Linked DNA regions of Astyanax mexicanus. The protein of the gene in region 3 interacts with the protein of the main gene of each other region in a biochemical or structural test. Links are inferred from orthologs where the notes say so. Each region holds a gene or a part of one and is shown on either strand. Other genes may lie near its edges. The genes, in order: atm, ppp2r5a, chek2 and atr.

Region 1 (7,611 bases), on a different chromosome or scaffold from region 3:
GCCACTGCTGTTGGGTGATCTCACACCAGTACTTGCGTACGGACAGGATGTTCTTCAGCAGCATGCTGCTATAATCTTCTCCATACGCAGAGCAGCTGAAGGAGCTCTGCATAACCTCCACCACATGAGCCAGCAGATCTGAGCACTTCAGCTTCGGACCCCCTGTAGAAGTTATTACCAGGAGAAACTGATATATTTGCAGAACTGGAATATTTTGAAAAAAAAAAAATAAGACCACAAATATGAGTCTCAAGGCTTACGTTTGTTGGCACATCGCACAAAGTATTTGATCAAGCTGCTGATCTCCTGCATCTTTTTGCGCCGGTTCGCTTGTGTGATGGCCGACACATTGGCTTTGCCTGACTGAAGGAGCTCTGTCTCCTTTTGAAGGTATTTCTTAAGGAACCTGGGGAGATGAAATAATGCGAAAATGAGCATATGATTAAAAAGACTGTTTATGTAGAACTGACAGATGTTTATTAGGATAAATATTTAACTGCTAACCTGAACACAGCATCCCAAGTGAGTTGGTTGTTGTTTCTAGAGGCTTTTAATGCAGAAGTACGGTCAAGTTCCTTGACTGTCTCAGGGTCTCGAAGAAGCCTCTTAAAGCGATCAATCTCTTTCTGGAATGAAGCATTAAATTAATTAGTTATACAGTATTTTCTCATGTTATTCTCAAACTGATGCAATATTACAAAAATACTAGAATCTTAGCAATACTGAGATCTTGACTTCCTACATTTGATCATACAGGAGCATTTTGTAGTTCTATTACAGACAGCAGTCCTACTTGTTCTCTGGATACTTTATTATTAACCTCCTTACATCCTGTTCTGCAACGGTTAGGTCCCAACAGGTTTACCACAGAGCAAGTAATATTTCAGTGGTGGCATTGTTAGTGTCTGTTGTGCTGGTATGAGTAGTACAGATTAGATACAGAACTGCAACTGGAGTTTTTAAACGCCTCAATTTGACTGAACAGGCTGATAATACATTATGCAGAGAAACACCAGACGCAAAGACTACAGTCTGTAATTATAAAACTACAAAGTGTGAATATAGGTCATAAAAGCACAAGTAAATTCATAAAGTAAAAATAAAAAAGTAAAGAAAATTAATACCTTTCTTTCCGTGGCTTTCTCATTTTCTAACCCCCGGCAGCAGAGGAGCAGCTCATGCACTGAAAGACTCATTGTGCTTCAGATGATCTCCATGGGCTTCCATACACTATGCTGCTCAGCTGTCAATGAGAATTCAACTATTAACATTTTACTAGATTAGCTACATTTCTACACAAGAGATTCACGGAATTCTCGGCTGATATCCAATAGTGCACACATATATATATCTACCAATGCCAATGCCAATATATCTATATTTTACCATATTGTGAAACATTTTCTTGTACTTATTATATTGACAATAAGCATATAAAGAATATCATTAATAGTTAATTAAATCTTATTTAGCATACATTTAATTCCAGACAGTGCAATCGGATGACGTTCAACAAAAATTAAATAAAAATCACTGTCCTACACATGAAAGAGCATCAGAATCTGCAACTGCTGATGCATTTTGTCTAAATGTCAACGGAAATTTAAAAATATATATGATATGATTTAGATGATAAATGATTAGATAAGTTTTTGCCATATTGTTCAGCCCTTTGATGTATAACTTTATAACTAAGATTAGATAAAAAAATACATTTAAAATAGCATGACTAACATCACTTGGTCCTTTTCCACAATACAATAAATACATCAGCAAATGGCCGTGGCAATGATTATAAAAAATACCAATTTGATTCTGATATTATGGTGCATCTCTAGTCTACACATAACCACAGGTGGACAAGGTATTTTTGGAAATTACAAAAAAGTAAAAATCCTACATAAGATAAATGTTTGATAGCTTATAATAACTATTAAGGTTTGTAAAGTTAATATTTATCAAGATAATGTCATAGCATTGCAAATACTCTGCTTTAAAAAAAAGCAGAGTCAGTTCAAGCTGGACTAGAAGAGATTAAACATTATGTTTTAGTTGTTTAATTACTGCAAGTAGGGGTGGGTGATATGGCTCTAAAATAATATCACGATATTTCAGGGTATTTTTGCAATAATGATATACTTGGTGATATAGGAAAACTAAAATATTTAATTCATTTTAGGAATATAGTATAATAGTATAACAGTATAATCATAATGTGGAAAAATAAATAATATAGCATAAAATAATATAATGCAGCAAATAATATTGCAGAATATTTAGTGCATGTATATAAACTGCAAACTAAAACAATTATACAATAAATACACCTAGAGCTTCACAGTGAATAATAGACTTATTTTAAGACAAAACAGCCCTATTATCACGATATGGATAAGGATAAACTAGATAAGTGCTGTGACCAGCATGACCAAGCAGAGCAGAATCAAATGCAACATGGATTTCAAATACCAGCATTTTTCAGAAGAAAAATCACATTACTTTTCTTTAGCTAGCTAAATTAAAAACGTCCATACTCAGGGATTAACACAGACACTTCTACTTATATTTAAGTAATATTATGTCCAGAAATATTTCTGCTTTCAGTCTAGAAAGGATGTCTTGTGTTTGGCCCACTCTAGTACACTGGTAAGCTGTTAGTTAGATTGTTAGTTAGCTTAGCTATGATAAATTGATCCTCCAGTATCTGACACTATAATTAGCTACATACACACAAGCTACTGCAGTAAACACAGTTAACAGTTAGCTAGTTAAGTCAACAGGCTAAGCTCTGGTGATCTCTGTGCGAAACTGCTGTGATTATTTAGCTCAGTTATGGATCTTGTTTAACATCCTAAAATAGAGTAGTTACTGGAGTTGGAACAGTTTCTCACTTGCGTTGTTTTTCCTCCGCTTTCATTAGAATCCACTCTGAACTTCTGGACATGTGTACATCTCCCCGCCTTCTTCTCCTCTTCGTCTCCAGCACTGACTCACCCTCACACACGATCTGCGCCACCTACCCGCAGGAGCTGCACACAGCAGGCTCAGTCTAATCATCAGTATAAAACGTATTAATTAAAAAATAATAATAATAAAAAGAAAATCCATCTATATTTTGTAGCTTTTCATTTTTTATTTGATTCCCACTTTTCTTTTTTCTGTTTGATTTGTTTGTTTAGGTTTTTTGTGTATGTTTTTGTTTTGATGAGTTTGTGATGTTGGTTGTATATTCTGTGTATTTGACCTATTACTTGTTTAATTTTGACCACAAATTAAACAGGTCAAACTTTTTTTGTGCTTCATGTGAAGAGGGTCACCATTTCCTTTTGAATACTGATTCGTGAAAGTACTAAATATTAAAAAAAAAGTAATTCGTGCATATTTTCTGTTTTTTTGTCTCAAAATCTCAGATAGTGTATTTCATAAGCTATTTGGGAAATGCTGTAATACTTGTAACAATAATCCACCAGGCATCTCATATTATTTTACTTTATGTTGTTAGTTTATTTGTATTATATTCCAATATTCCAATAATTATATATTTTTGTTGATTTTATGTTGTTCATTTATTTTTATCTTATCATTATTTACAAAATGATTTGATTTAAATACATATTAACGTGAAAGTACTCAATATAAAAAATAACTAATCTGTACATACTCTGGAAAAAATAAGAGACTGCTTTAAAATAATATTAATTTTTTTATTTTTTATTTTACCAATTTGAAATCTTCTGGAATAAAATCAAGAGGGAGATGGATGATCACAAGCCTTGAAACCAATCTGAACTGCTTGAATTTTTTGCAGCATACATTTATACAAAAGCAGTTTGTAAGACTGGTGGAGGATGCCAAACTGTGATTAAAAACATGGATATTTCATGAAATATTGATTTCTGAGCTCTTGAAATTGTATGAATACAAACTTGTTTTTTTTTTCATTATTTGAGGCTCTGCATCTTTTTAGTTATTTTAGCAATTTTTCATTTTCTGCAAATAAACGCTCACAATGACAATATTTTTTGGGGGAATTTGGTTCCAAATATTGTCAATATTGTATGTAGTTTATAGAATAAATCAACAATATTAATTTTACTCAAACATATACATATAAAATCTGAAAACTATTTTTTTTTTCCAGAGAAGTATTTGATGGTTTTCACATAAAGGCGGAGCTCGAATCATAGTCTCGCCCACATCCACCGAGGCCCCGCCCCCTCCACTGGTGAGAACATGGCTGCGGCGAGGAGGCACAGGCGTGTGGCGGCTTCACAGCCGGGATTTATTCCTTTAAAATCTGATCTGGACGGGAAATCATTGTCTATCGGACGCAGGAAGCGCGTAAACAAAAACAAGAAGAAGAACTGGAACAAATACAGCGATATTAATGATGTGGAGGAGTTTCTGGACGACGTGAGGCTCCAGGAAAGAGCTACAGGGTGAGCAGGGCTTTTTCTCAGCTGAGGAGCTAACCTAAATATTATTCATTACTGACTTACATGATTAAAGACCTCGGAATGAGTTAGGTAACTATGGGTTTTAATAGATTTAGTAAAAGCACTGAGAAATTAAAAACAGAGGGCTATCTATTGAAACCTTGTGCCACGTGCGTTTGGGGTCTGTTGGTCACGTGGTTTTAAAAAGCCCGTATCTAGGTAATATAGGTTCGCTGTTTAGCTAAAGTAGCTAAGCTAATTGTTTCTATAGCTTGGCTAGTTTTATATACGTGTGTTAGTTAAGATACCTTTGTTTTAAGGTTCTCAAGCTTACCTCTCATTTATTAAAATTGGCAAATAACAAAACACTCATAAATTACATATACAGTTGTTCTAATAATATTAATGTTGTGTACAAATACAATTGAATATCCATACAGTTTAACATTACAAAATATCATGTTGTGCAACCATAATGCTTTTTATTCCATGTAAATGTCAGTGTCACCTTCTTAACTGTACTTAATACTTAGTACTTAATAGATGTATTGTTTTTGTACAAAATGCTGATAACTTAGATTGTATTACATATAGGTTATACAAATCATTTTTAAATCTTTATATATATATATATATATATATATATATATATATATATATATATATATATATATATATAATATATATATATATATATATATATAATATATAAAACATAAATAAAATAAAACTTATAAAAAAAATAAAATCACAACATCCATGATGTGTAATGTTTCTACTTTTTAATATTTCTCCATAGAGGTCTTATAGCTGACAAAACAGACGAAAGCCTCTTCTTTGTGGACACTGGAACGAAAGAGAGTGTTCTTGAGCCAGGTATGTATCTACGTTTTTTTTGTTTGTTTGTTTTTAAGTTATTATTTAGATTTTTTTGGCTGTTAATTAGTTGGGTCTTAAGTTTCTGGTCTTCTCTTTCCACAGCTTCCAGTGAAGAGACTGGTAAAAAGTCCAAGCCACTTCGGATAGACTTAATTCTACAGCCAACTTCCAATGTCGCCCCACCTAAAGAGTAAGTAATTCGTGTTTTATATAGCACTTTTCCAAGCTGCAGTGGTCTATAATACAATTACAAATATGTGTTTAGACATTTTGTTGTGTCCCTTGTTGAGTGGGCTGTTCTTTACGTGGGTATCCTTGCTCAATTTGTTTGTGTTTTGTTTATGTGAGCACAGCATTTTGACAGTAAAATTAATTAAAACCTTTTCAAGACCACAGAAAGCCACAGTATTGAAACTTGAATTTAAAACTGAGACAGGCAGAAAGACTTTTTGTAAACAATTTTAAGGCTAATTTACTTTAGCCTGCATTGTTAACTTAGTATCCTAGCCTTGTACAGCTTGTATATTTTAGCTGGAAAAAGCCAATTGAAGAGACAGAAAACTGATTGCAAATACTGCAAAAAAAATCCAAGAGGAAACACTGAGGGTATACCCAATAGCCCAGACCAAGTCATACCTCTACTGTACTATCTAAACTGCTTTGTGGACAGCAGCCTTGATTTCTGAAATTGTGTTTGTTGGAAAGTTCTTGCCCTGTGATGATCTCATCCTTGCGCTCCCAGTATTTCTTTGGGAATGTGAAGACAACCTTTTGGGACCTGAAGGACTGTTGTGTGAACGGTTCTTTAGGATCTGAGGGCACTAGACAATTCCTTTTTCATGATTTCTCTTGACTTTCTTATGATTCCTTCAGCCAATAACTTGGTGGGAAAAGAAAATTACTAAAGCCTTTATTGTTTATTAAAATATCAGATCTGTGTAACCAAAACACAGCACCCTAACCCTAGGATTCCTAAGGTCTAGCTTTTCTAGCTTTAGCAATGTTCTTTGTACGTTCTTTAGATTGGTCTTTAACACTCACATTCTGTTCCCTGTTCTGTGCAGTATCTTGGCCCATCAGCGCCCTAATGCCAAGAAGGAGCGTCGAATTGCCCAAAAGATCCAAAAGCTGACCGACATGGGTGTATTGCCACGCAGGAAACGTCCCCAAAAGGTTCCTGTTAAGGAAAAGCCAATAATCAGTAAAGACCCAGACAGGAACTTCTATGATATCTGGAGTGCAGGCAGTAAGACATTTCTTGATTTATTAATTTTATAATGTATAAATCGAGTGCATTGTCTTCATTTAATATAGGACTGAACAGCGACTTTAACAGCATCTGTCTGTCTGTTACAGGCCCTGAGACAGCAGATCCTTACTACCTTGAACAGACCAAGAAGAAGCTGGTTAAGGTAAGAATAATGGGAATGATGATCTAGTAAATACTTTAAGACTACTTTACACTCACATGCCAGAAGTTATGGGATGGCAGTATTTCAATTGATCATGAATTGGTACCTTACGATGGCTTGGGAATGCACACATCACTTGACATTGTGAGGTTTTAATCTATGCAACAGCTCAGACTCGTCTTTTCTCCTGCAGAGACCAGAGAAGATGAATGAGAAACCTTCACTTCTTCCAGCTGTTGAAGTCATCGCCCCAGGAGGTTCCTATAATCCTGACTTCCTTTCTCACCAGGTAAGTGCTTTTGGTTCACTTGCTCAATTTTTGGTTGTTGCTATGAACAATCCCCCCCCTTGAAAATAATGGCTTCTAATGATAAATTTTCTCTAACAAAAAGGGCATCAGTCATATTGTGTATAAATTTCAAAAGTGGAATATAAAGTTTACTAGTAATTTTTTTAGCCCTATTATTTCTAGAAACTTTTAGCCAACTTTTAGCCTTAAGGTACACTTATCTGATTGGGCAAAAACAACCCAATACCACTGACCCATCCAGTACAGTTCTATTAAGCCTGCCTATTGGTAGACCTGATATTCAGGCTTTGACTTGTTAGATGGTTAGAAAGTTCTTGCCCTGTGATGATCTCATCCTTGCGCTCCCAGTATTTCTATGGGAATGTGAAGACAACGTTTTGGGACCTAGAGGACTGTTGTGTGAATGGTTCTTTAGGATCTGAGGGCACTAGCAACTCTGACTCAAGCTTCTCGAGTTTAATTATTTTTCAGTTTGTAGACTGTTAGTCTTTGAAGCAGCAGCAGTCCTTACTTAATAAATGACGTCAGTTTGCTTTTGCTTATGTAGTTTTTCAGTTGCATGTCTTTCTGACAG
Region 2 (7,512 bases), on a different chromosome or scaffold from region 3:
ACTAAACCCATTTTTTTCATTAATATTGCTCATTTTCAGTGCAGTTTCCAATAGAACTGTTGTTTAAAAATAAACATTAGAAAAAATAAATGAGCTTTTCTGCTTTGGTTGACATTCCCTCTCCTTTTCTTCTCTTTCAGGCTTTAGGTTCTCCACATTCTATGAGGAAGATCTCTTCTCCACAACCTCAGAAAACTTCTTCTCCACGTTCTATGAAAAAGATCTCTTCATACTTTCAGAAAACACCACAAAAATGATCTCCTTCTGCAAGGAAAATTTCCAGCCTTTTTCCAGACTTTTAATTACCATCACTATCTTTCTGAAACAGCAGAGATGAAAATACAGTTTAGTTTGTTTAAAGATGCGTTTTTTAAGAGAAACATGCTCCACTGCATGTGTTGTATATTTTAGCCTCTCTTTAAATCTGAGGTGTATTTTCATGTAAATAGACAAATTATCTTATTATTAAATGACTGTACTTTTAGCTGTACAGCTTCACAGAAAAGAATGTTGTTTTCAGTTCTAACTGTATGTTCACTAATGTTTAATGCAAGTGTGTTAAGTGTGTGAAACACAGAATTCTGCTATTGCTTTTGTATATGTACATAAAACTGTCCTGTTTATTTTTATTCTTATTTTTTATTCCTGTTGGCTGCTATTTTCTTAACTGGTGTTGAATTAAATGAAGACACAGGGTCTGAAATGATGTTTCCACACTGACTTTCCTGGTACTGTAGCTTGCACTCATACATAGAATTCAGAATAGGCTTTACATTTTAATCTGCTCATTTACACGTCACCCTCAGCCGTGGGTTTAATGCACTCTGCATTACAGGGCAGCATTCAGCTTAATTAAAACACCCATTTTACAATTAATGTATGCTTTTAATTCCAGGAGGCAGCTATTTAATCAGCTGTGCTCTGTATATAAGTGGTGCTTGTTGCCAAAAAAAAAGAAAATTGCCTAAAATTGAATTACTTTAATTCATTCTTACAGCTTTTTGCTGATCACATCTAGAATTATTCTTTTTTTTAAGTTTTTTATTAAAAAGACCATTCAACTTGTAATTTGCTCTTTAGCGCACAGGTTTGCAGTTTCATTCATATAGTTTCATTTCAGCAGAAGCTTGTGCTTTAGAGGCCAGCATTTAATGAATTATGAAGGAACTTTTAATTGAATTAATTAACCATACATGGTGTTAGAAATTATTTGGAGAACTTTTCTTCTTAAAATCTATTTAAAGAGTTTTTACTGGTTATTGGTTGCAGGTGATCTGAGCTGGTCATCAAGGCTGGTCAGCATTCTTTATGCTGTTAAATGTTCCCCTTGATTTTGGACTTGCTTTTACCTTGGTCTTGCTCGTCCTTTTGGTGAACCAATTGGCTGACTAGTCTTGCTGGTTGCAGGATTGGTGAAATCGGTTGTTTGCACAGGTTGATCGTTTTGATTTGTTGGCCAGCTAAACCATCAGTAGTATATTATTTCTACAAACTATTGAATTAACTATTTTCTAATCCACTATTTTTATAATACGAAGGATGTGTCATGGTAAATATCAATTTAAAATGTCTTTTAAAAGGAAATAAACATATTTAAATAATGAGTTTTGGTAAAAGTCCTACAAAATATGTGACCCTCTTAAAGACTATTTAAATTTCAATATTTATGTTAGATTTAGTGTTGAGCGAAGATTGAATAGTCAAGTTCAATTTAGAAGCACTACAACAAATGGCCAACCTTCCTAGTCCAGCTCTGTGTGGATACGGTGACCCCTAGGTTCATGTGTTGATGCTTCAGACTTTCCCTTTTTTTTTGCAGCACTTTTTAGATTAGATGACCTGGCTGTATATCACTTATTAGAGGTTGTATTTGTGTACTTGTACACATGCAGTGTAGTCTTTGTCTAGATTTTCATTCTTTGCATTTTAACACTTGAGTTTGAGTCAAGCTGGAAGGCCACCAGGGGGCGACAGATCTTTCCTCATTTGTCTCACTCACCTACTGACCTTGAAATTTATGAACGTACGTGACCTCTAAACACAGGTTAAGTGTCTTATATCTAATTAGTATTTAAAATCTATTAACTGGCTATTGCATCACTACCATTACCTGAATTTAGAGCATGTATTGTTAAAATGCATAAGATGCTATGCGCAATACGCATAGAATGTTGGGAAATAAAGTTTACATATAGAATGAAACAACAAAAACATTATTAAAATGTAATTTGGCCATACTCTGTGGCAGGGGTTCACAAGTGTTTATCTGTTGAGAATGATAGAACAGAAAATACCAACACACCCTATTTGTACTGGATGTTCTGAATGACTGCCCTGTGTTGGGCATCATAGCTGATTTTGAGAGTCTAGGCTGAAACACTTCATACAGTTACGTCTAATCTGCCTTTAATGCTGTTTTTTCATTGCAAAGCACAGCTAGAACAGCATTTACAGTCATTCTTTTCTCAAGCCTACTGCTGTTTATGGGTTTTTAGCTGAAGCATACAATTTGCACTCATGGATTTCTGGTTGAGTTCATTCCAGTGCAGACAGACAAGTTAAACGGGTCCTGGCATGGCATGATTTATGCGTTTTATCCCTCTGGGGCTTCAGTGGGGAAACAAAACAGGTCAATAGGAGGTGAGTGGAGCTAAAAAGAAATGAAGCAATCAACTTCAGAGTCATAAAAGGAAAAATATTGGTTGTTGGTTTGACCTCAGTGATGCATCAATGCATTAATGGTTTTAGTAGTGGGTGCGTATCTACAGAACTGGACTAAATTCACTTTATTACACAATGTGTACTTTATGTAACCTCTTAGTTCAGTGATTTCCAGGCTAAGAGACTGCAGGTTTTAGTTTGCGCCTGACCTACACCTGTTTTTTTTTGTTTGTTTGTTTCATTTCACTAACATTCAGCTTCACGTTTACTTTCCTGGGTGTAATTTCCTTCTGTTGTGTTCAGCAGTCTAAGAACATAGATTACTGGAGCCATTTCCTGTAAACTGACGAGACCAATAAAACTGTCCCTTGTCTACAGTAAAGCATGGTGGTGGTAGCATCATGGTCAGTGGCTATGTGAGTGCAGCCAGCACTGGGGAGCTGAATTTTAACATGTACTGTGGCATTATGAAGCACAGCATCTCCTCCCTTCCGAAAGTGGGCCACATTGCTGGTTTCCAACACAATAACGACCCCAAACACATCTCCTAAATCACAACTGCTTTGCTGAGAAAGCTGAAGATTAAGAGGTGGACTGGCCAAGCATGTCTCTAGACCTAAACCCTACTGACAATCTGTGGAAGGTCTCTAAAAGCCACCAACTCCATGATCTTGTCTTGGTGAAGTGGAGGAGGATTCCTGTGAAGCTGTGGTGACCTTCAAGTTAAGGCAGTGCTGGACTGTATTATATGGGGCACTATCAGTAAATGTCTATTTTCATACATAAGGCGCACTGGATAATAATGCAACATAAAGGCACAGTGGTGTTGTATAAAATACTCAGCTCTGAGCGGTAGAAGAGCTAGCACTTAGCGTGTTTAGCCGCTAATGCTACTGCTCCAGCCTCGGTGGCAGACAAACTTCACTGAAACTCCTGTATTACACTGTACTTCAGCAGAGTGTCTTTACTGCTTCTTACAACCTGACTGGTAAAAACTGAATGAGTCCACAGATTCTAAAACTGAAATAATAATAACAATTATAAAAGCTATTAATATTATTGAAAGTGTTTTAACTATTATTGTATCTACCAATTATACAGTTCTTAAAAAAATGAGACCACTTATAAAATATGAGTTTCTTTGATTTGACCAAATTGAAAACCTCTGGAATATAATCAAGGGGAAGATAGATGATCACATGCCATCAAACCAAGCTGAACTGCTTGAATTTTTGCACCAGGAGTGGCATAAAGTTATCCAAAAGCAGTGTGTAAGACTGGTGGAGGAGAACATGCCAAGATGCATGAAAACTGTGATTAAAAACCAGGGTTATTCCACAAATATTGATTTCTGCCATTCTCATTTTCTGCAAATAAATGCTCTAAATGACAATATATATATATTTTTTAATTTGGGAAAAATTTTGCCCGTAGTTTATAGAATAAAACGACTATGTTCATTTTACTCAAACATAAACCTGTAAAAAGCAAAATCAGATAAAATCAGATTCAGAAACTGTAGGGTTCTCTTATTTTTTTCCAGAGCTGTATGTTCTATATAATGAGTATTTATTGCAGGTACGTGTAAACGAAACCACTGCTTTGGGCAGTGAGACAGAAACCCTGAACTGAAGCGGGTTTTACATAAATCAGACCTAATTGACTAGCTCCAGGCGGACAGCTTGAAGAACTCGATCGAGCGGTAATCTGATTGGCCGCGGCGCAGTTGATCCTAGGCGCTGATTGGACGAGACTGCTGTCCGTCTCCGCGCTCAGCCTGTGGCCGGAGGGCGGTGGGCGGGGCTTGTGTTTCTGTCATTCACTCCACGCTGAGCTGCACGCTCACCATAAAGGTCAGATTGAGCGCTGGAGCGGCTGGATCAGAAACTTCACACAGCGCCTCGGTCCCGCTCTGAGAGACTTTCCCCGCCTGTTCTCGGGGTTTAGACAGGGCTGTGGATCTAATCAGAGGAATCAGAGTCAAGGAATGATCGATAGTTACATCAGCAGCGCCTGGAGAGGAGAATAATCCTATTTGTATCTGGAGCGGCAGCGAGAGACATGCGTGCCCCGCCGCCGCCGCTGTGCTGGAGGAGGAGGAGGACGCTGGGGAGACTTTATGGCTTTTAGATAAATGGGAAAACTCGGATATGAGGCTTCTCCACTTCTCCACTCTCTGATCCTGCGCGCTGACAACCTGTAGATGTGCCTGGAGAAGAAGAAGAAGCCCATCATGGCCACAACTTAAAGCCCTAGACGCCATATTAACTGGGTGTTTGTGTTTCTGTGTATCTCTGTGTTTCTCTGTGTAATATTGCATGATCTCCACTGCTGTTAGTCTGGTGGACACTCCAGTCTGTCCCCATTGGCCTTTAACTCCACGAGCAACAGGGGCTGCTGCACTTCAACTTCTTAGGAAGAAGAGAAGCTAGACTGTCCTCCACTCCACACTCACTTACTCTCCCCAGCATACTCCTGAGCTCAGCCAGTGCTTGAGTGTCCGTGCATTTGTCTGTATTTGTGTGTCAAGATGTCCTCTGGCATCTCAGCCACAGAGAAGGTGGATGGATTCACCAGGAAGTCCGTGAGAAAGGCCCAGAAGCAGAGGAAAGCTCAAGGATCAGCCCAGTTCAGGCCACAGGCAGGAAACCTCAGCCCTGGAGAACTTTCAGCCTTGCCCCAGCTCAGAGGTAAGGGGATCAGATAAGATACTGCACACATAGCCAATGGATCATTGCCTCTCAAGATCTCATAAAACACTATCAGAGCTCAAACCCTTAGAAATAAATGTTACTCAATGGTTATTGGCTTAGATGTTGTAGTTCCTGGGGGAAACAAATCTTTAGTCCATAAGAGCCTAGACCATTGTTGTATTTTTTTTTCTTATTGTGGGGACAATGCCTATAAATACATTTTATCATCATTGACAATGATGATAATGTTGGTGGAGATAAAGTAGTAGGCAAATCTGGAAAAAATGTTTTGCTTCCTTTTTGCCATATTTGATCACTCACCTAAGGTGAGGTCACAGGCCATGTTCCACCCATTCCAAGTTCAAACTAGGGGTGTGCCTGAAATATTGTGCCATATCTCCCACCCCTCATTATCACATCAGGGTACTACTTTTTGCTATTTTTTTAAGAACGGGAAATTCACACTTCACACAATTGTTCTCATTTCCCATTATATATCTAATAGAGACCATATCTGTATCATTTATTTTACTTTAATCCTGGACTTCTGTTACAGAATTCTTGTATTTTTTTTAATATCTCAGTTTGGGGTGTGCCATATCATATTGTATTAATAAAATGTAATTTTTATTTTGTTTTAATAGTGTATTCTTGATTTTTTTTTATTCTATGTTTTTTCATATCGTTATCACAAAGTATTATCACAAAACACCACGAAATATAATATTATTTTAAGGCTGTATCACCCACCCTTAGTTCAAACCCTAATAAGCAACTCCATTGCGTGTATTTTTAACATTTGAATGGTTAAATGGTTGGAACCGAGTTATAGAAACAAACAGTATACTTTTAAAATGAGCTAGTTTTATCTCCAGCACTGACCCAGCACACCTACATTCTGGGAATAAGGTCAGATGAATGAACACACATTCACACACTGTCCTGTGATGATGCTCTCAGTATATGTCCCTTAGGTTCTTCATAGGTTAATATGACGGACAAAGTGCTATAGGAAACTTGCCTTTCTTTAAAAAAAACGATTGCAATTTAGGTTTAATTTAAATTAAGATTTAGATTAATTGTAAGCTGAATTATTTGCAGGTGTGTTGATAGCAGCTAGGAACTGGCATGACCGATAGGCTTCACATATAAAGCCATTTAATTTACTAGCCAAAACACCAGTGAAGCTAACTGTATCTTCGGAAGTTAATGATGATGATGATGGTGATGGTGATGGTGATGGTGATGGTGATGATGATGGTGATGTTGGTGGAGATAAAGTAGTGGGCATATCTGGAAAAAAAAATTCTTCCACCCACCCTCCATATTTGATCACCCACCTAAGATGAGGTCACAGGCCATGTTTTACACAGTCCAGGCTACTTTTCATCACATGCTTTGGGGCAGTAGTGGCTGATTGGTTAGAGTACTGAGTTATTGATTTAATCCCTGGGTTCAGGAAGACTCCACTGTTGGTCTCTTGAGCAAGGCCCTTAACCCTCACTTCTACCTGGGCACCACAGCAATTGCTGCCCACTGCTCTGTGCACGTGTGCTCACTGTATCACTGTGTGTGTTATTTTGTCTGTAGGGTGTGTTTACTGCATGGATGGGTTTCAGGAGGAGGCCAAATTCCATCTTTGTTGTCTCTGTTTTTTCAAATGGAAGGAGAGTTGGAGATTTTAACTTTTGGTGTGCTGTCCTTCGGGTGAAGTGGAGATACTGATGTATTCTGCCTCAATTAAGGCATAAGGCAGTGTTTTCATAACCATAACCATTTTGTGTAATGACTCTGTGATGCTTTTAGAGGCATTAAACTCCTCAGACGTCTGGTTTCATTCAACAACACTGAATGATTCTGACTGGGCAAGTTTTTTAGAATGGAAAAACCTCTTCTAGAAGGAATGTGAAGGAGATGTTTATGATATAAAATACTAATTGTAGCCTGCTCCAGCCATCAAGCACACTACACCACAAGCTGCCGTAGCAATGTATGTCTGTGATAAGTTGTCCACTGTAACTGTTCTAGTGGAAAATCCAGTGTTAGATGAAGTTAAAGTTGAATTCATAAAAGTAAGCAACCAGTTCTGTTTCACAGGACTTATTTGTGGTTTTAATCTTCAAAGTAACTCAAGTCTGTTCAAATGACGACTAGCTTA
Region 3 (7,849 bases):
TTTATAAACATTTAGAAAGCCCTTGGCAATATACAGCACACACTGAGAACTAGCCTGCCTAAAGTATAGCTGCTTCTAAACATGGTGGTGGTAGTTTCAGCATCATTGGCCGTTTTAGCATCAATATTGCAAAATGCACAACAGTCACACTGCAGGACAAAACATGTATCACAAAATTTGCTGTAATTAATAAAAATTAAACATTTTTCTTTTTTTCATTTCCTTCACTGAAACTTTTATTAACCGATATATTCAAACGTTAATGAAATAAATCAATGTAAGATCAATACAATAGGATTTAATTTGTACAACAATACTTCCAGCAGTGTCAGTACACAATGTTGTACTTCACAGGTTTTTATACTGTTCATTTCGATATCGGGATTAAATCGAATTAAATAGAGCCGCACAATATATCGGAAGTAGATACACAGCGCTGTCTCTGTGTCTGTGTGAGTGACAGGCTACTGCTGCCTGAAAAGTACAGTTTTGCAGCGCAGATATTTCCAGTTACAGTTGATTTCATGCTTGCAATTCCAGAAAAATGGACAATTAAATTAAACACCTCATGCTGCAATATTTTAATTCTTGCCACAGGAAGTCGATACACAGCGCTGTCTCTGTGTCTGTGTGAGTGACAGGCTGCTGCTGCCTGAGAAGCACAGTTTTGCAGGGCAGATATTTCCAGTTATAGCAGAATTTAAGCTTGTAATCCCAGAAAAACCCTCTTATTTACCTTTAAAAAAACATTTAAATGCCTGATTAAAGGGTAGATTACTGTTGTTGTGCTCGGGTTTTGGGTTTTGAGTTTTGAGCACGCGGGTTGGGGCGGGGCTGGCAACGTCATGGGCCCTAAATTGTCTAATATTGCAATATATATATATATATATATATATATATATATATATATATATATATATATATATATATATATATATATATATATATATATATATCGCCAAAAACAATTTTTCAATATTGTGCAGTCCTAGTATCAAACACAATTAATAAATATCCTGATATAAACCAATTTTGACCATATCGCCCAGCATAAATGTCAGTATAGTGGTATTGTGGTGGACAGCAGACTTACTCAGAAGGTTGAATCCCCTGATTAGCGGAACCATGCGCCCCCAGTACTTGGGCTCAGGTTCTTCAGGTTCCTCAGGGATGGAGGAAAGGTCTGCCACAGGAACGGTGTCCACAGAACTCAATGTTCCAGAGCCTGAGGAGGACTGGCTGGCCGAGGTGGGTCCGGAGGATGAGCTGGACTGAGGCTGAGACTGGGTCTGGGACTGGGAGTGCCCACTTGGTCCTGCCTCCTCCGACATGCTGCTCTGTAGGAGGTGAACGAAACGATGATGTGTTACGATTATCATGACAAATTACAATAAAAGTCATTTTATTAGGCCTGTCACAATATTTGCAACATTGATTTATCGTACAATAAATGAACAGGACTTCAATCTTTTTCAATAATCATGATATCGTCTATTGTGTTTATTTGTATGTTTGTTCACATATATAACAGTATACAGTATTTTAGCCAGTCACAATACTCAATACCACAGTGTGGACTAAAGTAGGTAAAGAAATAAGCATATAATTTCCAAACTAATTATAATAAATGATTAATTAAATTGTTGATGTCTTTTAAAAAGTGATAAATTGTTTTTTATGCTATTCTTTTATCATTATGTCAGTGGCATTTTATTCAATAAAATTAAAATTACAAAAATATCATGTATCGTAAAAAATTTTGGGACAATATATCGTCCACAAAAAATCGTGACAGGCCTAGTCATGGTATGCACACACAGGAACATTAGATCACTCCAGGTACAGTACCAATCACAAGTTCGGACACACCTGAAATCCAGGGTATTTAAAACAAAAATCTGCATTGTAAATTAATACTAAAGTAACAAGCTTTATGGCTTTCAGTTAACAGCTGTGCTGAACTCGTCAAGAGTTAATTACTTGAATTTCTTGCCTCTTAATAAAGTGTTTGAGAGCATCAGTTGTAAAGTAGTGAAGAGGTAGAGTTACAGGTATACAGTAAATAGTGAATATTTGAGTAATGTTCTAATCTAGATTATGGCTAAGTAAGGACAAAAATGAAAAAAAAAAAAAAAAACGGTCAGTCAAACCGAAAAAGCTCTTTAAAAAAAAGTATCTTCAAAGGCAATCAAAAACGCTGAACGATGGAACTGGCACTCATCAGGACCTCCCCATAAAAGAGCAAGAGTTAACAGGTGATATGGCACCATATTTCAGGGTATGATATAATTTACTATGTTCAAAGATTGTTGGTGAAATTACTGTGTACACCAATAATATACATATACATGTATTTGCATATATAACATGAAGGGATCTGATTGGTCAAAGAAAGAGGGTGGCACCTGTAGCTACAAAAAGGCTCCTCCCACTTTTTTTTCCCAGAAAGCAAAAAAAAAAAAAAGCCAGACCTAAACCCAGGATTAAACCGGATTAGCATGTTTGTCTGAACTCCTATCCTAAACAATCCGCATTCTAAATCGGATTCACACCCATTTTAACTTGTTTTTTTCTATATCAGGTCCAAATCCAAATAAATAAATAAATAAATCAGAGTCACGAGTTCATAGCTAACGTGGTAGCTAACGTGGTAAATAGAAATAAATAGAAAATATTCCTGACAGAGAAGCTAAAAAACACTAAAACCCTAAACATTTAAATAAATAAAAGAATATTATCCTGAATCAGAGTTAAATCGGATCCGGAACCGGCGCGTTTAGGCGGGTTGTGAAGCTCCGGGCTAAAGCAGCAGCTCGCCTACCTGAGAAAACCCGGGTTAAACTAATAATACAAGAACAGAGAACCCTCAGAACCAGCAGGACCCTAAAAACACAGCCAGACTCAGCCCGTACACACGCGTTATTACCGCCATACCGAACCTGCAGAACTTCAGCGGGGTGATCCGGACTCCAGCTCGCAGCCGAAACACATGTGCCGGACTCTGCAGCGCGGCAACCAATCAGATCACAGAACTGGGAGATGTAGGAGACAAGACTGCTGGGAAATGTAGTTTTCTTGTATTAATAAATAAATGAATGAATAAATATGTCTAAACAGCGCCGCTTTGTGGTATTTTTTCTAAATACACAATCTATAATAAAATATCTGGTATTTCAGTATTTTTATGTTTAATAATTAAAAGGGAAAACTGTACATTTTAAGGTTTTATTAGTTTCCAATACAAGGATTAAGCCTAGGTTGTGTCCCAAATATGTACTTAACACTAACAGCAAAAAATAGAACAGTGGATAAAAAATAAAAATAAACAGATATAAAAATAATAACTGAAAATATAAACAACAAAAAGCAGATATAAAACAAATGCAGCCGATATAAAGCAATAATAGTGGGTATAAAATAATAAATGTGTTTAAAATCAATAAGTGCAAATATTAACAGCTAAAAGTGTGGAATAATAATAATGAGAAGAAGATTACAAAGAACAGCACGTTGAACTTAATTAAAACAGCAGATATAAAAAATAAAATTAGCACACAAAAAATTTATATAAAAGAAAATATGCTATAACAATTGTGGACATAAACACAACTTATGTAAGTTAATATACAAATTTAAATTGACTATAAAATACAAAATGTAATAATTGTCAATATAAAATCGTCTATAGAGGTGTAGTTATGGGGTGGATTTGTAGTTAGGGGGGGGATATAATTTCCTCACATATAAATAATACACAGTACTGTTATCCACAGCTGTTATTCTAGCCTATATCCATGCAGTTTCATGCTATAGTATTATTATCATATATCATATATCCTTTTATGTTAGCAGCACCAACAATCCAACAGCATGTAATAGACACAATAACAAGTCAAATTCAGTGCATATACAACTAACATCACAAACACATTAAAACACACTGTTAGGAAAAATAACTAAAAGCCTTTAATGTGTCATGGCAAGTAGATATAAAACACTAAGGCCACGTGATTATCAAAAAAAAAGAAAATTGAAAAAGAAGAAAATTTAATGAATTAATTAAAAATATATATAAATAAAAAAATAAATAAAATAATTAAATCAATAAATAAAAAATAGTAGTACTACTACTTATTTATTTTTTCGTTTTTTTTTTCAATTTATTTTTCAAAGATCTTTTCATTAGTTTATAAACTTTTTTTTCTTTTTTTCACACACACGCGCGCGCACGCAGGCGCACGCGCACGCACACACACACATATTGTATAATGTATATTGCGCAGCTGGCTCTCGAACACTGCTAACCGTTCGCGAGCGACACGTGCGATGACGTCACCAGTGACTGTGACGTCATCGACCGAGAGTATATTTATATATATATAGGTGCCTTAGCGCGCAGCGTTTTCCCGGAACAGCGCCGCCTGTAAAGGAGCAGCATAGCGCGGCTAAGATGAAGAAGAAAAACTAATTAATAATTATTAAGTATTAATAATAATCAATAATTAAATAATACATTTACAAATTTGGTGGGGGCTGGCAAAAAAAAAACAATCAATCAATCAATAAAATAAATAATAATAAATAAATAGCCCCTAATAAATTTGGGGGTGGGGGGCAAAGTTTTATAGCCCCTAATAATATATATTATATATATATATATATTATATATATTATTAGGGGCTATAAAACTTTGACTCATGACTGTGCTGCAAAACACAGTTCTAACAGCTTTGTCAAGTTCGCCGATGATACAACCGTGCTGGGTCTCATCACCAAAGGCGACGAGTCAGCACACAGAGAGGAGGTGCAGCGGCTGACAGACTGGTGTACAGTCAACAACCTTCACCTGAATGTGGACAAGACAAAGGAAATTGTTGTTGACTTCAGAAGAGCACAACACACCCACTCTCCACTCAACATCGACGGGTCCTCTGTGGAGATTGTTAAGAGCACCAAGTTCCTTGGTGTCCACTTAGCAGATAACCTCACCTGGACCCTGAACACCAGCTCTACAGCTAAGAAAGCCCAACAGCGTCTCTACTTCCTCCGGAAGCTGAGAAAGGCCCGTCTCCCTCCACCCATCCTCACACTCTTCTATAGAGGGACCATTGAGAGCATCCTGAGCAGCTGCATCACTGCCTGGTTTGGGACCTGCACCGTCTCTGACCACAAGACCCTCCAGCGTATTGTGAGGACAGCTGAGAGGATCATCGGCGTCTCTCTCCCCTCCATCATGGACATTTACACCACCCGCAGCATCCGCAAAGCAACCAGCATTGTGAATGACCCCACCCATCCCTCACACGAACTGTTCTCCCTCCTGCCTTCGGGAAGAAGGTACCGCAGCATCCGGTCCCGCACTGGAGCTGGTGTTCAGGGTGCTGGACCGGATGCTGCGGTACCTTCTTCCCGAAGGCAGGAAGGGAGAACAGTTCGTGTGAGGGATGGGTAGGGTCATTCTGATTGCTTTGCGGATGCTGCGGGTGGTGTTAATGTCCATGATGGAGGGGAGAGAGGCATCTCTCTCTCCCCTCCATCATGGACATTAACACCACCCGCAGCATCCGCAAAGCAACCAGCATTGTGAATGACCCCACCCATCCCTCACACGAACTGTTCTCCCTCCTGCCTTCAGGAAGAAGGTACCGCAGCATCCGGTCCCGCACTGGAGCTGGTGTTCAGGGTGCTGGACCGGATGCTGCGGTACCTTCTTCCCGAAGGCAGGAGGGAGAACAGTTCGTGTGAGGGATGGGTGGGGTCATTCTGGTTGCTTTGCGGATGCTGCGGGTGGTGTTAATGTCCATGATGGAGGGGAGAGAGGCCTCTCCCCTCCATCATGGACATTAACACCACCCGCAGCATCCGCAAAGCAACCAGCATTGTGAATGACCCCACCCATCCCTCACACGAACTGTTCTCCCTCCTGCCTTCGGGAAGAAGGTACCGCAGCATCCGGTCCCGCACTGGAGCTGGTGTTCAGGGTGCTGGACCGGATGCTGCGGTACCTTCTTCCCGAAGGCAGGAGGGAGAACAGTTCGTGTGAGGGATGGGTGGGGTCATTCACAATGCTGGTTGCTTTGCGGATGCTGCGGGTGGTGTTAATGTCCATGATGGAGGGGAGAGAGACGCCGATGATCCTCTCAGCTGTCCTCACAATACGCTGGAGGGTCTTGTGGTCAGAGACGGTGCAGGTCCCAAACCAGGCAGTGATGCAGCTGCTCAGGATGCTCTCAATGGTCCCTCTATAGAAGAGTGTGAGGATGGGTGGTGGGAGACGGGCCTTTCTCAGCTTCCGGAGGAAGTAGAGACGCTGTTGGGCTTTCTTGGCTGTAGAGCTGGTGTTCAGGGTCCAGGTGAGGTTATCTGCTAAGTGGACACCAAGGAACTTGGTGCTCTTAACAATCTCCACAGAGGACCCGTCGATGTTGAGTGGAGAGTGGGTGTGTTGTGCTCTCCTGAAGTCAACAACCATTTCCTTTGTCTTGTCCACATTCAGGTGAAGGTTGTTGACTGTACACCAGTCTGTCAGCCGCTGCACCTCCTCTCTGTGTGCTGACTCGTCGCCTTTGGTGATGAGACCCAGCACGGTTGTATCATCGGCGAACTTGATAAAGCTGTTAGAACTGCACAGTCATGAGTCAGCAGGGTGAACAGCAGAGGACTCAGGACACTGCCTTGGGGGGCCCCAGTGTTCAGTGTGATGGTGCTGGAGGTGCTGCCCCCGAACCGGACTGACTGGGGTCTCCCCGTCAGAAAGTCCAGGATCCAGTTGCAGAGGGGGGTGTTGAGGCCGAGCGAGTTTAGCTTCCTGATGAGGTTCTGTGGGATGATGGTGTTGAATGCTGAACTGAAGTCTATAAACAGCATTCTGACGTAAGTGTCCTTCTTCTCCAGGTGGGTGAGGGAGAGATGAAGGGTGGTGGTAATGGCATCGTCCGTGGAGCGATTGGGACGATACGCAAACTGAAGGAGACCAGTGAAGAGGGCAGTGACCAGAAGGTTTGGGCGTGTGGTGATGGTCTTGGAGACAGTGACATCATCAATACACTTGCTGATGTAGCCAGTGACTGATGCTGCATACTCCTCCAAATCAACAGAATCGCCTTCAGTAGCAGCCTCCCTAAACATGTCCCATGCAGTGCACTCAAAACAGTCCTGTTGGAGTCAGCCACACACACATGTGGTCCGAGAAAGCGAGGTGGGGGCGGGGCTCCGCCCGGTACAGTAATACACTTTTTTTATATAGCACCTTTCATACATAAATATATAGCTCAAAGTGCTTTACAATAAAATTTAATAAAACAGAAAAATTTTAAAGTAATATAAAACAAATAAAACAATTACATTTAATACAAATTTAATATTTAATAAAATAGTAGGAAATAAGTAATTCATATTAAAATAAAGTATAGAACATATTATAGATAGAAAAATAATAAAAAAGTAAAAATAAAAATAAGAACAACAAAATCAATCAAATAATTTTTTTTAATTATAAGCAAAACAGAAGCTAGTAGTAAGCTAAGCTAAACAGGAAGGTTATTTAATTTATTTTTGATTAGATGCTTTATAGTATGCTTTATGTATGAGTAATGTAACCATAATAAAATTAATTGTTTGTATAAGCCCTCAAAGCTAAATCATTAATATGACAGATGGGGAATAGTGGCAGCAAAGGTTACAAGAATTTTGGTACTTTTATAAAAGGGTATTCCTAAAATAATTTAAAGTATTTTGAAAGAATTTGATTAAATGTGTTTGAATATTTATGTGTTTAAATAATGAAAAATAATGCAAATGGTAGCATATTTGCATGTGAGCAATGCTATACTTTTATATAGTAATGATA
Region 4 (7,912 bases), on a different chromosome or scaffold from region 3:
AGTCACCTGGAATTTTTTTAAACAGAGATTTCCAACATGACTTGAGCATTTGCTTTCTTTTTATAGCTTTATTTTAACTCTAGAAAGAATGACTTAAATACAATTGTTTAAAACAATTAAACAGTGCTAAATCATTGATTAACCCAATTTAGTTAGCTAAGTAATGATATACAAAAGTTTGGGCGCACCTTTAATGAGTATTAATGAAAACTATGAAGAAACAACATATGCAATTATTTATTAAACTATTAAAAGCTTACTTAACTAAAAAAAAGTATCTCCTCTTGTTTAGATGATGAGTTTTGAACATCTCTGCTGGATTTTCTCAGTCAGTTTTATGAGGTAGAGTCTCCTGGAATTTAGACTTTCAGTTAACAGCTGTGCTGAACTCATCAAAGTTAATTACTTGAATTTCTTGTCTCTTAATAAAGTGTTTGAGAGCATCAGTTAAAGTAAAGTAGTGAAGAGGTAGAGTTACAGGTATACAGTGAATAGTGAATATTTCAGTAATGTTCTAATCCAGATTATGAGAAGCAACAACTACTCAACTAAATAAAGAACAGTGAAGGTCAGTCAATCCGAAAAAAAGAATTTCAAGAATTTTCCAAGAAAGTATCCTCAAGTGCAGTCATCGCAAAAAAAAACACATAAAAATCGGTAAAATGGTGAAACTGGTACTCATCAGGACCGTCCCAGGAAAGGATAGAAGAGCAAGAGTGTCCCCTTAATATATACCCTTTAATATGATATATATATTTATTTTTTCTTCCAAATGTAGAATTGTGTAGAGTTCTGAGCCACATACATATATGTGGCTCAGAACTCTACACAATAATATATATATATATATATATATATATATGTTATTGAATATATATATATATATATATATATATATATATATATATATATATATATATATATATATATATATATATATATTCTAAGCCACAATAAAATTGCTGTAAAGTTATATTTAAAGTTAAACTCCAGCAAAACACCAATCAGAACATCAGAACTGGGACCGCTTAACTGAATTCATACCGGGAAGCAACGGGTTAATGAGCAAACGAGCAGTTGCCCTGGAAACGGGGTGAACGGGAGGCTGCGCTGCGGCTTCCTGACAAAATAAAGGTCTTAAAATAAAAGTCTTAGCGCTTAGCTATCAATGTACTTAATAAATCGAATCTTTTAGAATGGGAATCACAAAACTGGCAGATTTAATTCGGAATGAAGCTCGTAGTTCTGTTTCTCACAAGGAAATCGGAGATTATACCGGTAACACCCGATAAATACAGTTAAATTATGATATATGTTTTTTTGGAACTCTCCGTTCCACCTTAAATGGTGCAGCAGCTGGCGCCAGAACGCCACTGCTGGCTGAAACATTTAAGGTGGAACAGGAAGTTCGAACATGAAGTAGACTTTAGCTTTGTTTGTTTTGTTTTGTTTTTAGCTTTATTTAATTATAGCATTTTAAATCGAATCTTTTAGAATGGGAATCACTAAACTGGCAGATTTAATTCGGAGTGAAGCTCCTGGTTCTATTTCTCACAAGGAAATCGGAGATTACACCGGTAACACCTGATAAATACAGTTAAAACAGACAGATTGCACTTAGCATAGCATAGCTCAGCATAGCTTAGCCTAGCTAAATAATAATAATTAAGTTGGAAAAAGAAAAAATATGCGAAGGACGAAGTAAGCAGTAGGAAGAAAAATGAAATACTAATTTTTTTGTTGGGTCATTTTATTTAGTTTTATACATTTATTTTTCCGTCTATTATTTCTGTGCTTTTATACTGGATATTGTTTTCACAATATTGTTTTCACTGATTGGATTTGTCCTGTTTTAACATGTTTTTCCTCTTTTCTCATTCCCTCAATAAAATCAGTTTCTCTGATTTTGCTATTTATAGGTTTATGTTTGAGTAAAATGAACAATGTTGTTTTATTCTATAAACTACAGACAACATTTCTCCCAAATTCCAAATAAAAATATTCTCATTTAGAGCATTTATTTACAGAAAATGAGAAATTACTGAAATAACAAAAAAGATGCAGAGCTTTCAGACCTCAAATAATGCAAAGAAAACAAGTTCATATTCATAAAGTTTTAAGAGTTCAGAAATAATCAATATTTGGTGGAATAACCCTGGTTTTTAATCACAGGTTTTTTTTCATGCATCTTGGCATCATGTTCTCCTCCACCAGTCTTACACACTGCTTTTGGATAACTTTATGCTGCTTTACTCCTGGTGCAAAAATTCAAGCAGTTCAGTTTGGTGGTTTGATGGTTTGTGATCATCCATCTTCCTCTTGATTATATTCCAGAGGTTTTCAATTTGTTAAAATCAAAGAAAATCATCATTTTTAAGTGCTCTCTTATCCGAAACATTATAATGATAAAACTGGCACTCATCAGAACTGCCCCAGTTAAGGCAGAATTAACAGCATAGCTATTTAGCTATTTCTAACTCTTTAAATCTATCTAGTTAATACATTTCCCAGTATTTCTGAATGAGGGTTCTGATTGTGCTGAAATGCTGATATATGATGTAGATCATTATTTAACTATATATTTAATATCTGTTTTTTATGTGTTTTTTGTGTTGTAGGAAAGGTTATCGCTCTCGATACTTCCATTGTTGTGAACCAGTTTCGCTCAGCTGTGCCCGGTCTGCCATACAGGTGAGAGAACCCTGAATCCCATAATGTTATTATATCATGACTGAGCGAAAAGCATGGACAGGTTCAGGTGGTTAAGGTGGATATGGTTGTTAAGGTGGATAGGGTGGTTAAGATGGTTGACCCGATGGTAAGGTATATTTTTCTGCCCAAACCTGACCAAGCTTATTGATCAGCAAGACCTAAAATCAATAGAAATGTTCTCTATGTTATTTAAAGGGTAACAACCCACCCTGATTTTAGACTCCCCCCTGGATGATGGATGGGTTTACGGGCGGAAACATCATCCTCGCCCATAGCACAGTTGAACCTGAGAGGAGCTGCAGAGGCAGAAATTACCACAATAAAAGCATTTTTAAAGGTTAGGAAAGGTTTATAAAAATGTATGCAGGACTGGTATGTTAATACATGGTTTATATATGAATTACTAGCATACCCAGAAATCAAAGGGACGTTGAATCAACGTTAATTTTTCCATCTCTAATGCATTGAAACAATGTTGATCTCTGACATTTGTGAACATCGATTTTACATTAAATATGTATAATAGTCATTTTTACTTGTACAGTCTCGTAGAAAGCTGGGGCAAATTCTTTTAGCATAATAATAATAATAATGAAAGTTTCTGGGTTGTAATATGGAATGTATTCTTAACATACTACAAATTCATACATTATTTATTAATTATTAATATAAGTGGTTCTAAAGCAGTTATACAGATACAGGAGTTGGATAATGAAACTGAAACACCTGGTTTTAGAGCACAGTAATTGATTGTGGTGACGGACAGTTCTGGTGGAAACAGGAGAGTTGAGGTGAACATTGAATTCTGCGTGATTTGATCAGACGTGGTTTTATGTTTTTTGGATACAATCCGGGTTAGCACCCGAACATCCCTTTCAGACAGCTTCCTCTTACAGCGTCCACAGTTAATCCTGTTGGATGTGGTTAGTTCTTCTTGGTGGTATGCTGACATTACCCTGGATACCGTGGCTCTTGATGCATCACAAAGACTTGCTGTCTTGGTCACAGATGCTCCAGCAAGACGTGCACCAACAATTTGTCCTCTTTTGAACTCTGGTATGTCACCCATAATGTTGTGTGCATTGTAATATTTAGAGCAGAACTGTGCTCTTACCCTGCTAATTGAACCTTCACACTCTGCTCTTACTGGTGCAATGTGCAATTAATGAAGATTGAACACCAGGCTGCTCCAATTTAGACATGAAACCTAAAATCCCACACTAAAATGATGACAGGTGTTTCAGTTTCATTGTCCAACCCCTGTATATACACATTTACTTTAGTCCTAATAATTCAGTTTTCTTCACAGTCCTCTACTCGGCCTGTTCTACCGCACCCTTACTTTCCTTGAACATGACATCAAGCCGGTCTTCGTGTTTGACGGGAAGCCGCCCAATCAGAAGAGAGCTGTGGTGAGAATCAGATTTTTTAAAGTTAAATCGAGAAGTCCTTTTTAATTTTGCAGTAACGCGTAGTTTGTGTTGTGTTAGCTGGAGAAAAGAGCTCAGAGCGCCGGCTGGAACAGCTCCTATCGCTCCAACACCGGTAAGAAGAGCAACACCAGATATTTTATATATATATATACGTATATATATATATATATATATATATATATATATAGATTCTGTGTGTTCAAATATTTTTTCAATTCTAGTGTCCACCAAAACCCAGGAATTCCTCCGTCTCGTGCAGCTGATGGGAATGCCCTTTATCATGGTAACTACACATTTATTTCTTATCTATAACTAAATTTCTCCTGTATTATAGTACTGTATTATAGTCTCTGTGCTCTCTGATTGGTCAGGCTCCTGCAGATGGTGAGGCGCTGTGTGCTCACCTGGTCAGAGGTGGGGTGGTGGACGCTGTGGCCTCTGAGGACATGGACACGCTGGCGTTCGGAGGTACCACCCTTCTACGCCAGCTCAACGCCAAGAGAGACAGGTGAACAACCAGTACAACCATTAATACAGTCTACTATCTGTCCATCTATGGTATCATAATCATAAACGTACATCAGCAGTGCCATTCTAATCATAGAGCAGTACAGAAGTACTATTCTAAACGTACATTTACCTCAGCAGTGCTATTCCATTCAAACATTTACATCAGCACTGCTATTCTAATCATATATTTACCTCAGCAGTGTTATTCCAATCATAAATTTACAATAGCAATGCTATTTTAATCATACATTTACCTCAGTAGCGCTATTCTAATCATACATTTACATCAGCAGATTTATTCTAATTATATATTTACATTAGCAATGCTATTCTAATTATACATTTACATCAGCAATGCTATTCTAATTATACATTTACATCAGCAATGCTATTCTAATTATACATTTACATCAGCAGTGCTATCCTAATCATAAACTTACCTCAGCAGTGATATTCTAATCATACATTTACATCAGCATTGCGATTCTAAGCATAGATTTACCTTAACATTCCTATTCTAATCATACATTTACCTCAGTAGTGATATTCTAATCATACATTCAACTAAGGCAATGCTAGTCTAATCATACATTTTCCTCAGCAGTGCTTCTCTAGTCATATGTAGCTAGATAACTTGGAATGTATATAGAGAAAGAATACGTTAAGGCTACATTACCTTGACTAACTTCACTATGCTAGTCCTGTACAGCTTTGTATCTCTCAGCTTGAAAACAGAAGGTTTGTGAAAAGGTAATAAACTGAGTAAACTGATAAAGTGTGTTAAGTAATGGTGAATACTTTGTTTAGTGTAATTTATGTCAGTAGATTAAAAAATGAACTTAAACCTGCCATATGTCAGCTCTCTCTGACGGCTCTCTCCCTCACTTCCTGTATTGTAAACAGTATTTATTTAAGAATAAAGCTTATAAAAGTCAAATTAAAAGAGGAGTACACCTTTTAAACCATTGTTATGCATTTGCAACATGCGTCTGTTCTGACTCACATTAAATAATTTGAAAATTGTTCTGATTTTTCAGTGAGGTCACAGAATACTCCTTACCAAAACTACTGGAAACTTTGCAGCTCACACAGGAAGAGGTCAGTCACAGTGTGTGGTAATGGTGTTTGGGTTGTATTTATTGTATGTATTATTTATTATTATCTTAAAGGTCTCCTTCCGCTAAAATCCACTTTTTCGTGTTCTTTGTGAAATACAGTACAGTAGAGTTGTTTATGATGCTACACATGAAACTGTTCCTCAACCTCTATTCAATAAATAAGCACCGTGCCTACATCAACCCGTGAATTAGTATTCATGGCCCCACCCACCTCGGCTCGGGACCGCCCACAGGCAGAGCTGAAGCCGGGCGGCGACGCTGTCTCGTCAGATAGGAGATAACTAACCGCTAGAAACAGCATGCGGTTCATTCCTGTGTTATTTGTGCGAATAACACATCAGTGTTTATATACTTTACCCAGTAATTCAGAGCTAAGAAACAAATGATTAGAATTAGTCTATGGAGGAACAACAGCAGCCAATTACTAGTGAGATAGGTAGGTGTGTGTTTACAACAGTTTAGATCAGTTCTGTTTACACTAGTTAAAAGTAAAAATCTATCCCAGGGTTTTGTTTGTTCCAACTGCCTGGGCGGCTCTGCTACGGCTCACCCAACAAAACTCTGGGGTGGATTTTTGCTTTCTGGACCTGGACTCTACCCACCTCTGTGTGTAACTATAGGTTTAAATAGGATCTCCGGTGGATTTGGTTTTTTACAGAGACTCTAAGACTAGATCAGGGGCTGAACTGCACTTAGCAGAAAAGCATTATTACACATGTTATAAAGTAATATATCATTGTAAAGACTGTTATTAGTGTAAAAATGTCTTTATTTTAAAACATTTCTAACGGTTGTCCGTCTCCTTGCCTCAGGGTGTCTCCGTGCTGTTAGCCAATCAGAGGCAATATGTTTGCATCTATAAATATTAATAAGCAAGAGCCAAAGTTGTTTTTCTCCCACTCCTCCACAGGACTAAAGCAGAGTTATACCGCATTACTGAAGCTCACATAGCATTTATTCATACTAGAGACACAACTAAACATTTTTAAATAAATGAAAAAACGATAAAATGAGAGCTTTAAGAACTGTTAATAGTATATGTGGATTATTATTTATGTGGAAACAAGTAATAATGTTACTGTGTATGTTGTGTGTTCAGTTTGTAGATCTGTGTATATTACTGGGCTGTGATTACTGTGATAAGATAACAGGACTGGGTCCAAGCCGAGCCCTGAAGCTGATCCAACAGCACAGAACCATAGAGCATGTGAAGCAGAACGTCAACAAAAAGGTACCTGAACTACACTGATTGTTTTATGATATATAACCGTACGATAATATGACTAAAACAGCCGTCTAAACGCCCACACTCTCCACAGACTCACCCGGTTCCTTTAGCCTGGCAGTACCAGGCTGCCCGCAGGCTGTTTTTGGAGCCACCTCAGGCTGATACCCCTGATCTGGCCTGGAGTGATCCAGATGAGGAAGGCCTGGTGAAGTTCCTGTGTGTGGAGAAAAACTTAAAGTAAATTATTTTTCTTATTATAAGACATAATAAAACCTTTATAATATACTGTAATGTTCATATGATCCACACACTCATTCTGACAGACTGTAATACACTACAGGAAGTGTAGGGGGCGCTCTATAATGCTCTATAATGTTCATACGATCCACACACTCATTCTGACAGACTGTAATACACTACAGGAAGCGTAGGGGGCGCTCTATAATGCTTTATAATGTTCATATGATCCACAACACGCTTATTCTGACAGACTGTAATACACTACAGGAAGCGTAGGGGGCGCTCTATAATGCTCTATAATGTTCATATGATCCACAACACGCTCATTCTGACAGACTGTAATACACTACAGGAAGCGTAGGGGGCGCTCTATAATGCTCTATAATGTTCATATGATCCACAACACTCATTCTGACAGACTGTAATACACTACAGGTAGCGTAGGGGGCGCTCTATAATGCTCTATAATGATCATATTATCCACAACACGCTTATTCTGACAGACTGTAATACACTACAGGAAGCGTAGGGGGCGCTCTATAATGCTCTATAATGTTCATATGATCCACAACACGCTCATTCTGACAGACTGTAATACACTACAGGAAGTGTAGGGGGTGCTCTATAATGATCTATAATGTTCATATGATCCACACACTCATTCTGACAGA

What was found.
Region 1: of the proteins of chek2 (region 3) and atm, one has a biochemical effect on the other in vitro, tested with the Homo sapiens proteins (6 studies listed by BioGRID, with this or other methods). The link is inferred for Astyanax mexicanus from reciprocal best matches to the Homo sapiens genes CHEK2 and ATM.
Region 2: the proteins of chek2 (region 3) and ppp2r5a form a complex in vitro, tested with the Homo sapiens proteins (2 studies listed by BioGRID and IntAct, with this or other methods). The link is inferred for Astyanax mexicanus from reciprocal best matches to the Homo sapiens genes CHEK2 and PPP2R5A.
Region 4: of the proteins of chek2 (region 3) and atr, one has a biochemical effect on the other in vitro, tested with the Homo sapiens proteins (2 studies listed by BioGRID). The link is inferred for Astyanax mexicanus from reciprocal best matches to the Homo sapiens genes CHEK2 and ATR.

What each region holds. Positions count from the first base shown.
Region 1 is NC_064411.1:44,659,150-44,666,760, reverse strand, and holds the start of atm (serine-protein kinase ATM), read right to left. Parts: upstream 3,015-7,611; 5' UTR 2,892-3,014; exon of another isoform or gene 2,870-2,891; intron 1,244-2,869; 5' UTR 1,197-1,243; coding exon 1,125-1,196; intron 627-1,124; coding exon 505-626; intron 407-504; coding exon 261-406; intron 163-260; coding exon 1-162. Other genes in the region: ribosome biogenesis protein NOP53, read left to right, coding at 4,234-4,439, 5,236-5,312, 5,418-5,505, 6,380-6,561, 6,672-6,727, 6,921-7,016.
Region 2 is NC_064408.1:85,993,372-86,000,883, reverse strand, and holds the start of ppp2r5a (serine/threonine-protein phosphatase 2A 56 kDa regulatory subunit alpha isoform), read left to right. Parts: upstream 1-4,503; 5' UTR 4,504-5,191; coding exon 5,192-5,351; intron 5,352-7,512. Other genes in the region: dtl (denticleless protein homolog), read left to right, coding at 141-257. UniProt on the Homo sapiens protein: The B regulatory subunit might modulate substrate selectivity and catalytic activity, and might also direct the localization of the catalytic enzyme to a particular subcellular compartment.
Region 3 is NC_064429.1:33,386,814-33,394,662, reverse strand, and holds the start of chek2 (serine/threonine-protein kinase Chk2), read right to left. Parts: upstream 3,015-7,849; 5' UTR 2,940-3,014; exon of another isoform or gene 2,935-2,939; intron 2,913-2,934; exon of another isoform or gene 2,822-2,912; intron 1,338-2,821; 5' UTR 1,332-1,337; coding exon 1,094-1,331; intron 1-1,093. UniProt on the Homo sapiens protein: Serine/threonine-protein kinase which is required for checkpoint-mediated cell cycle arrest, activation of DNA repair and apoptosis in response to the presence of DNA double-strand breaks.
Region 4 is NC_064411.1:57,784,491-57,792,402, reverse strand, and holds the start of atr (serine/threonine-protein kinase ATR), read right to left. Parts: upstream 3,001-7,912; 5' UTR 2,986-3,000; coding exon 2,921-2,985; intron 2,692-2,920; coding exon of another isoform or gene 2,619-2,691; intron 1,578-2,618; coding exon of another isoform or gene 1,496-1,577; exon of another isoform or gene 1,384-1,495; intron 1,279-1,383; coding exon of another isoform or gene 1,197-1,278; exon of another isoform or gene 1,144-1,196; intron 1-1,143. Other genes in the region: zgc:110269 (probable flap endonuclease 1 homolog), read left to right, coding at 1,496-1,577, 2,619-2,691, 4,022-4,124, 4,203-4,257, 4,367-4,428, 4,517-4,653, 5,693-5,753, 6,873-7,004 and 1 more. UniProt on the Homo sapiens protein: Serine/threonine protein kinase which activates checkpoint signaling upon genotoxic stresses such as ionizing radiation (IR), ultraviolet light (UV), or DNA replication stalling, thereby acting as a DNA damage sensor.